2 linked regions of the Caenorhabditis elegans genome follow. The protein of the gene in region 1 purifies or fractionates together with the protein of each later gene. This does not show direct contact. Each region holds a gene or a part of one and is shown in the gene's direction. Other genes may lie near its edges.

Region 1 (5,504 bases):
CGATGAAATATAAGGGAGACGATTTGGAAGATGACATACCAATTTGGTTGAAAACTTCAAATGATTCACAATTCCTTGAACAACTTCTTATCAGTTGTACTGAAGTTTTCGAGGATGCAGGATCATCTCTCTGTATGACAGTTGCACGATATGTCAGAGATTTGTCGGATGCAGAAAAGACAAAGATGTTCCCACTGTTGCTTACTGCTCTGTTACGATCGAAACCATCGAAAGTTAACGATTGTTTGAAAGAAGTTCAAGAGCATGTTGAGAAAATTGGTAGGTTTTAGACCACGGGCGTCATCGAAAAATCAAAAAAAAAAATTAGAAAATTAGCAAATAAAAGGTTTAAGAACCCAAATTGAAAACCGACACCCTTGTTTTAGACTGAAATTTTGCAAATCTTGAAGAACGAACTTTTTTTTCAGCTGATCGTAAGGATGTCTTCACTCGAAACAGTCTACATCACATCTCATTCTTTGTGCCGGCTAAAGAGCTCTTCAACTGTGCTCTATCCACATACGATTTGAAGCTTGCTCAGCAAGTTGCAGAAGCTTCAAATTACGATCCAAAAGAATATCTACCAGTTCTAAACAAGCTTAATCGAGTTATGTGCACACTTGAACGACAATACCGTATTAATGTTGTACGAGAAGCTTGGATTGATGCAGTTTCCTCATTGTTTCTGTTGGATTCAAGTAAAGAAAGAGGTTCAGAAGAGACATGGTGGAATGATATTGAAGATATAATTCAAAGGGAAAAACTATATCAAGATGCACTGACCCTTGTTAAGCCAGGAGATCGAAGATATAAGCAATGTTGTGAGCTGTACGCTGCTGAATTGGAACGAAAAGTTCATTGGAGAGAAGCTGCGTTGTTTTACGAACTTTCTGGAAACTCGGAGAAAACTCTGAAATGCTGGGAAATGTCACGAGATGTTGATGGTCTTGCCGCATCAGCTCGTCGACTTGCAGTTGATGCTGGAAAGTTGAAGATTCATGCAATTAAAATGAGTACAACTCTTCGAGAAGCACGACAGCCGAAGGAATTGGCGAAGGCTCTGAAATTGGCCGGTTCGTCGAGCACTCAAATTGTACATGTTCTCTGTGATGCGTTTGAATGGTTAGACGCGAGTCGAGAAGTTGAAGTAGGAAAAGAGGAAGCGCTGAAAAAGGCTGCATTGAGCAGAAATGATCAAGTTTTGATGGATTTAGAACGAAGAAAAACTGAATTCGAGAACTACAAAAAGAGATTGGCTGTAGTTCGAGAGAACAAGTTGAAGAGAGTTGAACAGTTTGCAGCTGGAGAAGTTGACGATTTGAGAGATGATATTTCAGTTATTTCCAGTATAAGTTCAAGATCAGGATCATCGAAAGTTTCGATGGCGTCGACTGTTAGAAGGCGGAAGCAAATTGAAAAGAAAAAAAGTTCACTGAAAGAAGGTGGTGAATACGAAGATTCAGCATTGCTCAACGTGCTTTCGGAGAATTATCGATGGTTAGAGAATATTGGAAGTGAGTTTTGCTTTCCCTGGAATTTTAATATATTGTGACATATTTTCAGATGAGCTATCCCAATTGATTCTAGTTTTGATAACAGTTGGAAACTTCCCAGAATCTCTTAAATTGAGAAGCGCTTATGATGAATTTGCCACGAAGCTTCAGAAAAGCAAAGCTGCAATCTGGCCTGAAAGCCTGTCGGTTCAGCATCTTCCAGGACCACTTCATGCACTGGTAATTAAATTTGAAACGCTAAAAAATATTATCAAAATATATAAACTGACATGTGAAACGTGGCTTATTTTTTATTTTGTTTTTTATTTAAGCTCCTCCCATTTTTTAAAAATAAACTAATAAATTAAAATTTCAACGAAAGGTCAGGAATGGGAGGAGCTCCTCGAGGAGCTTAAATAAAAAACAAAATAAAAAAATCCACGTTTCACATGTCAGTTTAAATATTTTGATAATACTAATTGTGTAAATTTTCAGTTTGACCCAAACCAAGAGCCGTCGCCTATCCCAATGCCTCCCATATTCCGGCTTGAACCTGAACTTGTCGCTCCTACATCTTCATTTGCTTCAGTTTTCCCATAAATTGTTGATTTTGTTTTCTTGTATTGTTCTGTTGTTAACCGTTCTCTTGTTATTGGTAACTAAAGTTTTTATTCACAAAATTGTTCAACTTCATAGTTTAAATTTTCTCAGCAAAGGAAATATGGAAGAAAATGTTCTGTAAATTTTATTTAAATTATTCAAAGAAATTGAAAGACATTTTTTTTGGTAAAATAAAAATTTTAAATAATGCATTTCTAGGCTTCCTGAAATTAATTCTTCGCGCGCGAATGTCTCTTCGACTACAGTATTCCCGAAACCTGCACATCAAAGTGACAAAATGCGTTGGCAATTATTTACTTTTTTTGTAATTTTTGCCTAAATTTCCCGCTAAATAAATCGTGTTTTTTAAATTTAAATGAACTTTGATCCTTCTCCTTTTTTCCATAATTTGTTAAATATTTATGAAAACATTCAATGATTTTCAGCACAGCTTCACAATATGAGCAAAAAGGTGGATGGTACGTAATTAATTAATAAAAAATTTCGGTAACAAGCAACACCTATTTCAGATCTCGATCCTTCGGAGCTTGCTGAATTGACTAATGTCCTTCACCAAATAATTGAAGAACCTAGAGGTCGTGTCAGACTTGATGAAAAGCAGCTCGTCGTCGTAAAAAAAGCTGTACGGAACTTATTAATCAGAATATTATTTTTGGATCATTTTCTACTTTTCAGTACGATTGCAAAATAATCGAGAGAAAACTTGGTAACGCTATTGCATTCAACATCGAGCAGCAAAAGATCGAAGAGGTGAAACGAGAAAAAGATCGACAAGCGAAGGAAAGAGAAAAGAAACCTATCCTTCCCAGTAATAAAGTCACTCGTGTCACGTTCAAGGAACAGGATGTGAGTCGTTCATATATTTTTGAAATTTTCATTAAATAAATGTTATTTTCAGCTTTCGATTTCATTCTCCTGCGTCCAAATTAGTAGCCCAACTACCAGCAATGGCGGGAACCAACAAATTGCGAATAGATCGATGCTAAAAGCGAGTCCAAACACTACAAACGTTGATTATATCTCGTTCATATCGGAAGATGGTGGATGTGAGTTGTTGCGGGGTGTTGATGTCCCGGCAAGATTTTAAGCTATTTTTAAAATCACTGCTGGAGATAGACTCCACTTTCCAATCGAAAATTATTGACCGAAATACATTGCAGATTTGATGATGAGAAATAAAACGTTTCCTGCGCCGGATCTACTCAAAAATGAACCCCTCGGATATCCATTGGGAGTTGCCTACGACGAGATCCGTAATGATTGGCTAATTTGCGATCGAAATATGAACAAGCTACTGATTATGAACGTCGAAAAAGAGGAAATACACGTATGCAAGGGTGCCATTCAAAATCCAACCGCTGTGATTGTGTTCAAAGAAGGAGAAAGTGCGGCCATTCTGTGTTCCGATAAACCTAAGAACCTTCACAAAATTGTTATTTACAACTTCAAGGATGGAGGCGATTCGATGAATGTGTTCGCATCATACGATGAAAGAATTTACGATATGAAGCATCAATTACGCGGTCTTGCAATTTCGGTTGCCGGAAATATTCTTTCTCTCGAATTGTCATATACATCGAAACGCCTGCGAGTTTTCAAAAAAGACGTTGGAGGACGCGGTTTCGAGCTTTCTGGAGCAGTTTCCCCGAGCTTCATCGCTAGTTATCGTTCAACTGTTGCGATTTCGGATCTTGGATGTAATAAGGTGTTCATTTGCTGCTTAGACGACACAAATTGGAATAATATGTCATTCAATACTCTTCGAGTTCTCGAATCGGTTAGTTTGAAATTGAAAAATCATTTTTTCTTATTTAAAAAAACTGTGGTGTTTCTAACAATTGTAGTTTGTAGCCTGTGTTTTAGAGAACACCTTTTTGTTGCTTTTAAAGCGATTGTGGGCGGACAATGTCGAAGTACTGGATTACTGTAGTTTTGAAAAAAAATTCACTTTTGAAGGGATAGTCAGCGGATCATCGAAAGATTTTTTTCAGATAAAATCGAAAAAAAAATGATAGAAAGTTTAGAACAAATTCAATTTTTGTTTATATCGATGAGAAAGAACTTGAGAAAACATATAATTTTATTTAAGAATGTTCAATTTTTGTGAAATATCGAAAAACCAACACCCTTGACTATATGCGTATTCAAGGAAAAACGTGTTTGGCTTTTGAAGTAATTATTTCGGGATACTGTAGTTAAAAATTGAATTTTTGGTTTTTGAAAAATATTAGAGAGATGGTATGGTGTGGTATTACTGTAGCTTAAGACAATATGCACTTTTTTTTGGTATTAATATATTATTTCAATGACACAATTTTCAGTCACCTGATCTGCCGATAGATCAGCTCGCCAATGAAACTGGATTCCGATTCGTCTCCGGAATGCAATTCGACCAAAATGGCTATCTTCTCATTGGAGATGCAAAAGGTCATTCGATCAAGGTTAGAATTTTCAAAAAAAGTTTTTCAAGTATATGGAAAATTTTTAGATTTTTTTTGGTTTAAAATAAAAAATTTAAATTTAGAATATTTTTAAATGTTTCAGCTGTTCGACACTGACTACAGTTTCCTGCATCGTATCTCCAGTGATTTTCCTCTTCCCTATATGTCTTCATTCCATGTAAACAGTAAAGGCCAAGTAATTATCCTCGATGTGAACGCGGAACAGAAGCTTCACTGGGTGAAGATGGAGTCGATCGACGAAATTCAGAAATGGTTGCCACCGAAAGCTGAAAGACGTCCCACGCAAGGATTTTATCAAGCAAATGCTCGTCGAGGTGAATTCAAACGTTCACAATTTTGAGTTTTGTCGATTTTTCTGGATGTTCTCGTTTGAACCAGCATTTCATTTCACTTTCTACCCGACGTTTTTTTTATAATTGTTCTCTTTCTGTTCAATTTTTTTATTCAAATAATTCTTCAACATTCATAAACTACCTCCCCCCTATAATAAGCTCTCCCTATTAAATCAATATAATATTGACTCATAATTTCTTATCAGTTTTTATTGAGTCAACAACTCTCATTTCTAGACACTCTTTCCCCATGCATCCATCGAGGTGAACATTTGAGTTTCGATTCTTTTAATGTTTTTTATCCATAACTTTCAGAAAATCTGCATTTCCAAAACCTAAATTTGAGGTCTGGAAATTTGCAAAGTATTCCTCTGCTCTACAGATTTTTCAAATTGTGAGTTATTTCAAGTACTTTTTATCTGTTGTTGTTGAATAGTTTTAGTTTAGTAATGAACGTATTTTTAATATATATATATATATGTTTTGTGCAAGAAACCAAAAACTTAAAATTAGCATGGAATTCTAGTTTGGAAGCTTCGTATCCCTTGTGCTCATTGGACTTGTTGGCTCACAGTTTGCTCCAACATATGCTGCTC
Region 2 (5,504 bases), 5.6 Mb from region 1:
GATAATAATTTTTTTTTAATTTAAATTCACTTTTTCCCGTTTTAAAGTGAATTTCAATAATAATTTCAATTTAAAGCGAAAGTTGTGAATTGAAAATACTCATTTTTTCGAATAAAATTTTTTTTAAACATTTCAGTATTCTAAAATAAATTTACGGTCTATTTTCTGACATTTAAAGCAAATTTCTTTGACTCTACTCCACTTTCAAGTTTCTATGTAATTGTGAATAAGGAATTTCGAACAAAAACTGAATTATTAGAAGAAACACAACATTCACACAAAACACATTATAATCTAAAATAGGAAATATATATTTAAAAACACAATAAACTGACAGCTGAAAACGAACAAGAAGCTACGCTTTTTAAAAATGGAAGAATATGAACCTCGGCCATGTGTCCATTTGTGTACTCCCCGAGGACAAGTTGGATCTATTATTTGCAGAGATATTGCAGTTTTTCGCTAAAAAGCATCATTTTGGCCAATTTTTTTCTTAATTTGCACAGTGTTTTAGGTGAAAGTCGACTTAAAAAACAATTATTTCACGTTTTCGGTAATTTTGAAATGTTTGTAAATATATCGAATTTCACTAAAAAAAAACCAGAATTTATAGTTTTTAAAGAATAAATAAAACGATTTTCACAAAAAAACAAGCATTTTTGCTATAAACTGTGAAATTATTGCAAAACAATAAATGCAGCTTTCTCCTCGAGGAGTACACGAGCTCCGTAAATCGGCACTTGACCATGATAGAGGTTTTTAAAATCATTCTTTCATATTTCAAAACAGAGGAAATTGAAAATGCGCTTCCATAAACCAACACCATCACCTCTATCACAACTTTTAATAGAATTATTTTTTCTAGAATTAATTCTAAATTTACGAAACCAAAAATAAAAAAAATCACGACAAAACTGTGCTGAAAAGAAGAAAAAACTTAATCATTTCGAAATTTTTTAATTCGTTTAATACTCACCAAAATCCCAAAACTTCGAGGTAATTTGAGGAATTGGAGTTGATTGGCCTGAAAAATCGTTTTTTATCGGAAAATTTCTCCCAATTTCCTCTCACTTTCTCTAGCAGAATCTGCGTGTCTTTCTGCTTCTAAATGTCGTCTTGCACGTGCCATATTTGCAGCAATCTCTTCTCTTACACTAGGCTCACGTCTTCCATCAAGAGCTCTTTCGGAGCCACGTAGATTATATCCCATGTCACGGAGTTCAATCATTTCAACGTCCAGTGGAGGTTCTGAAAATTGGCTAGTTCTGGTTTAGTTTTTAAGGTTTTTATGAAAACCGATGATCGAATTAGTTGAAAAAAAAATCAACCACTTTCAGAATTTTGAATACATGTAGCATGGCAGAAGAAAACTTTTTTTTCGAAAAAAAAACACTTTTTGAACATTTTTCTGTTAATTATTCGGGGTTTCTTGATTTATAATTTTTTTTTGCAATTTGATTTGGAGCGTGTTTTCCGAAATTTTCAGGCATTCAAATCAAGCAGTTGTTTTATGATTTTTTCTATATTTTACACTTTTTTAATAACTAGAATTTAAATAAAAACTTACGTTCTGATTCTCTGTACAATTCATCCACTGAATCATTGATTGTTCTTGTAACCACAACTGGATCTGTTGTATCAAAAATCATATGCAGATAGGCGACAACACTCTGAATATTAAAATATACATAATTTTCAAACGTTTCTGAAATTTACCTTAATAACAGTGAAAAAGAAAACAATAAATCCAGTATATGAAGCAGCAAATACAAGTGAGACACCTTGAGAAGCGACAAATCCAAGGATAAGGGGAAGAATAATAAGTATAAACCATACGTAGAGATGCATTGTGTTGCAGAATATTGAAAAACCCGGTTCATAGTACCTGGAAAATTTTGAATATATTGGAATTTAGCTAAAGAAAATCAATAATTTAATTCTATAAAAAAACGAAGCAATTTAATCAATTTTTAGAGAAACTTTATGAACCTGTTTTCAACGAAAAAACTTTTTTATTGTTTTAAAATGAATACTAACCATCCACCAGTGAGCGATGCCCAAATACCCTGTCGAATAACCTCGATGATGTGTGTGCCAACACTCATCGTGGCGGCTCGAGAGCTTCAGACTCCAAAATCGCTCGATTTTCTCCGGTTTTACTCTGCAAAAATCGATATTTCTAATGTATTTCTGGTTTTGTTCGGCAGAAAACTAAAAATCAATCAAAATTCAAGCGAAAAGGCTTTTCAAAAAGTGAAAATCAATGAAATGTGAGCAAAAGCGAGCAAGCTGAAAAAACAGAAAAACAGACGACAATGTACGCAAACACCGTGTGTGACGCGCATTTGCGGACTCGGAAAAACTTTTTTTGGCAGGCACAGAAAGTGGAATATCATGCTGAAAAGATGAAAATAATGATAATTGCAATTGGAAACATATGTAAAAATGTTTTTAAAAATTTTTATTTGAAAAATTGAGTATGTTTAATGCGCAACTTCGGTTTAACTTAAGGATGTTCAAAAAGTGAATTTTTATTCTATTTACACAGAATGACTTATTATGTATCCTCTGATGAATGTCTTGTTGTTACGGAGGAGATTTGTCTTTTCGATATGTTTCCTGGAAATTTTACTATTTTTTTTTCAAACTTGAATCAAAAGTTGTTGTAAAAGCTTGATTTTGTTTATAAAATTACGCAACAAATTAAGATGCGTCTTGTATACAAGGTTAATAGATGAAATAAGGTATTTACAATTGAAAAGTATACAGAAAGTTTCGGAAAGTTCCAGAAATTTCTAATTAGCTCTAGAAACTATCGAGAAATATTTGTTTGATAGGAAAAGTAACTAATATTCAGTTGAATAAACATAAAGTTCCAAAAAATATTATAAAACTACGAGAAAGTTGCTTTTTAGTTGTTACAATGTTTTGGAAATCTACAAATCAATTTTTCCGAAATCCAAATTCTCACAACCTCTTCTCCATTTTTCTCTACATAATGACCCTCTAATACCGTTCGTCTTCCCGCTCGGGTCACTCGGAATTGAACAAGGTCGTCATGTTCAGTCACTTTCCTTTGTGTCTCGGAATCTCTTGTGTCTGTGGAAAGGAATACATATCCTCCATATTCTTGTATTATAATAAGTGGTTGTCACTGTCTCATACAGTCCACTCGTATTTCACCATATGACACCTTTATTCATATTCTTAGTTCTACTAACTTCACAAGGTAGCTTTTTTTTATCCAAGGAATATGTCTACCAACCGACAGAAATTTAAATTTGCTCCATTTTGAAACGGTATATCTCAATTCATTTTGTAGATATCAATTAAAATTAATTACAAAACTATAGAAAAAGAATTAGAAATTATTTCTTCAGTTGAAATTTTTTTCACTAAACAAAAGACAACTGAGATATGAGCAACCAAAGTTGACCAATGGGATGCAGCACTGATTGAGAATGTACAGTCTACTACTTGAAAATCACTTTAGCCAATCGGACCCAAAAAAACCCAAAATTCATATTGAGGCCGTTCAAAAATTGCTCAATAATTGAATATTTTGTGGACTATCTATATATAGAACCTGTCATTTGATAGGAAACCTTATGAATGAGTCCATATAGAAAATTTCTGGAGAACTTTGAACTTGGAACAGTAGATCTTAAAATTATTCAGGTCATTAATTGTGTTTCCCAAAGTATTTTGATGGGTGGAAAAGTTTCTAATTTTTCACAAGTTTTTAAAAATTTTCTAGAAAATCTGCTTACTAAGTTGCCCTGTGTGTACAATTTGCAAAAAATGCGAATTCACGGGCCTCTACTGAATTTCAGATTAAATTTGTATTTGAAGTTTTTTTCCAGTTCTTGGTGGTCTGAACAATGGAGCATCCTCGAAGAATGTAGGTGGGAGAAGGCAGCCAACTGGTGGAGGAGGACTTGATGAAAATATTCCTGTAATTGAAATTCGAGGAGAAGGAGCTCCGATGAGCTCAGCTCAAATTAGACATTTAGAGGAGATGGATAATGGTGGTCCATTGGATATTAAGGTGAGTTTTATGTGTATAATTACGCTTACTTGGAGTTTCCTACTTATTGTAACTAGGTACTACCCGGGACACAACTTACCCCTTTTTCCAAAAACATCTGTGTTTCCATCACATAACTAAATTAAAAAAAAATAAATGTAAGGTTTTGATACCTGCAAATTTGATTTTAATGATTCAAAATAACTGCATTTCCAGTGCGACTCAACTTCTTTCAAAAACAACAGTCAAGTTTTCAGATCGAAAAAACGTTTGTGCCAGCCAAGTGCCCTCAACAAGCAAAACGACTGGACTTTGTAACTTTCCATTACAAGGTAACAAATGCACACTTCTGAAAACATTTTTGATTTCAATTTCCAGGTGTTCACAGAAGATAACAAAAAAGTATATCAAACATATGGAACTGGTCCAGTCACAATTCAACTTGGAACTGGAATGATTATGCCAGGACTTGATAAGGTGAGCATTTTAAATATTCTACCGTATTTCCTATATTAGTTTTGAATCCCTTTGCTCAACTTTTACAAATCATATCTCAGTAGTCGTTTGTTCTATAGAAAAGTTGTAAACTGATAAAATTTTTGTGAGATATTTTTCTATAGTTTGTAGTTTATTAATTATTTAAAGGTTCAAAACAAAATGAAATATGAGCTGCCAAAGTTGAGCAAAGGGGTGAAAACTAATAGAGGAAATACGGTATTTGAATGCTTAGCACCAGGTTTTATGTGTTCTCCGGTTTGGCTAAAGTTGAGTAAACCGGTTTCCCTGTTTATGTTCGTTCGAAATAGTTATTCTTGACAAGTAACCTACTTTGCTTGTTTTCTTGAGAAAAATGAAATGATTGATGGAACAATTTTTTGTTTTGTAAATTTTCCACCACGGCCGCCAGTTTAAAAAATGAAAATGTACCAATAATATAAACAAACAAGCAAACGCAGCATTTAGGCTCGAGGAAGGCAGCCTACAAACTTACCTATGCCTCAAGTTAGGCAAAGTTGTTCCAAAGCCTGAAAACTTGCCAAGATGCGCGCTGACCTAGCTTGCCTATCTAAGATCCTACCTCTGCCTACGTGCCTGCCTACGTGCCTGCCTACCTACTTGCCTAGCCATGCCCACGCAAAGTCTAAAGCTGTGTTTGCCTCTGCGTTCACCTGCCTATGCGATTGCCTTTTTACATACCTGCCTATACACTTGCCTACCTGTCAATGTTTGCCTGAATATGCCTCACCATACCTGCCTACTTACTTGTGTGCCTACCAGACTATAGCCTGAAACCATGCCAAACGCAGATTTTAATCAATTCTATAAAAAGCAAAATGCTGATTCTCTCGAAAATTTTATTTGAAAAACCTATTTTTTGAATATTTGAAGTGAAATCACAACCATTGAAAGTTCACTTTCAGAAAAAAAAAACAGTCAAATATCTATTTTTATTTCCAGGGTCTGAAAGGAATGTGTG

What was found. The genes of interacting proteins can lie anywhere in the genome.
Region 2: the proteins of Y110A7A.15 (region 1) and fkb-7 fractionate together in Caenorhabditis elegans (co-fractionation; one large-scale study listed by BioGRID). This does not show direct contact.

The regions. Positions count from the first base shown.
Region 1 is NC_003279.8:5,110,788-5,116,291, reverse strand, and holds Y110A7A.15 (uncharacterized protein), read left to right. Parts: upstream 1-2,539; 5' UTR 2,540-2,553; coding exon 2,554-2,572; intron 2,573-2,588; exon of another isoform or gene 2,589-2,609; intron 2,610-2,623; coding exon 2,624-2,736; intron 2,737-2,789; coding exon 2,790-2,960; intron 2,961-3,012; coding exon 3,013-3,160; intron 3,161-3,274; coding exon 3,275-3,891; intron 3,892-4,435; coding exon 4,436-4,555; intron 4,556-4,658; coding exon 4,659-4,916; 3' UTR 4,917-5,158; coding exon of another isoform or gene 5,159-5,172; 3' UTR 5,173-5,223; coding exon of another isoform or gene 5,224-5,302; 3' UTR 5,303-5,381; downstream 5,382-5,504. Other genes in the region: elpc-1 (Elongator complex protein 1), read left to right, coding at 1-279, 429-1,514, 1,564-1,733, 1,989-2,093; Y110A7A.21 (MARVEL domain-containing protein), read left to right, coding at 5,159-5,172, 5,224-5,302, 5,435-5,504.
Region 2 is NC_003279.8:10,664,773-10,670,276, forward strand, and holds the start of fkb-7 (peptidylprolyl isomerase), read left to right. Parts: upstream 1-3,035; 5' UTR 3,036-3,186; coding exon 3,187-3,229; intron 3,230-3,863; coding exon 3,864-4,048; intron 4,049-4,284; coding exon 4,285-4,359; intron 4,360-4,405; coding exon 4,406-4,504; intron 4,505-5,095; exon of another isoform or gene 5,096-5,245; intron 5,246-5,485; coding exon 5,486-5,504. Other genes in the region: B0511.12 (Pecanex-like protein), read right to left, coding at 977-1,024, 1,072-1,248, 1,568-1,670, 1,717-1,885, 2,038-2,105.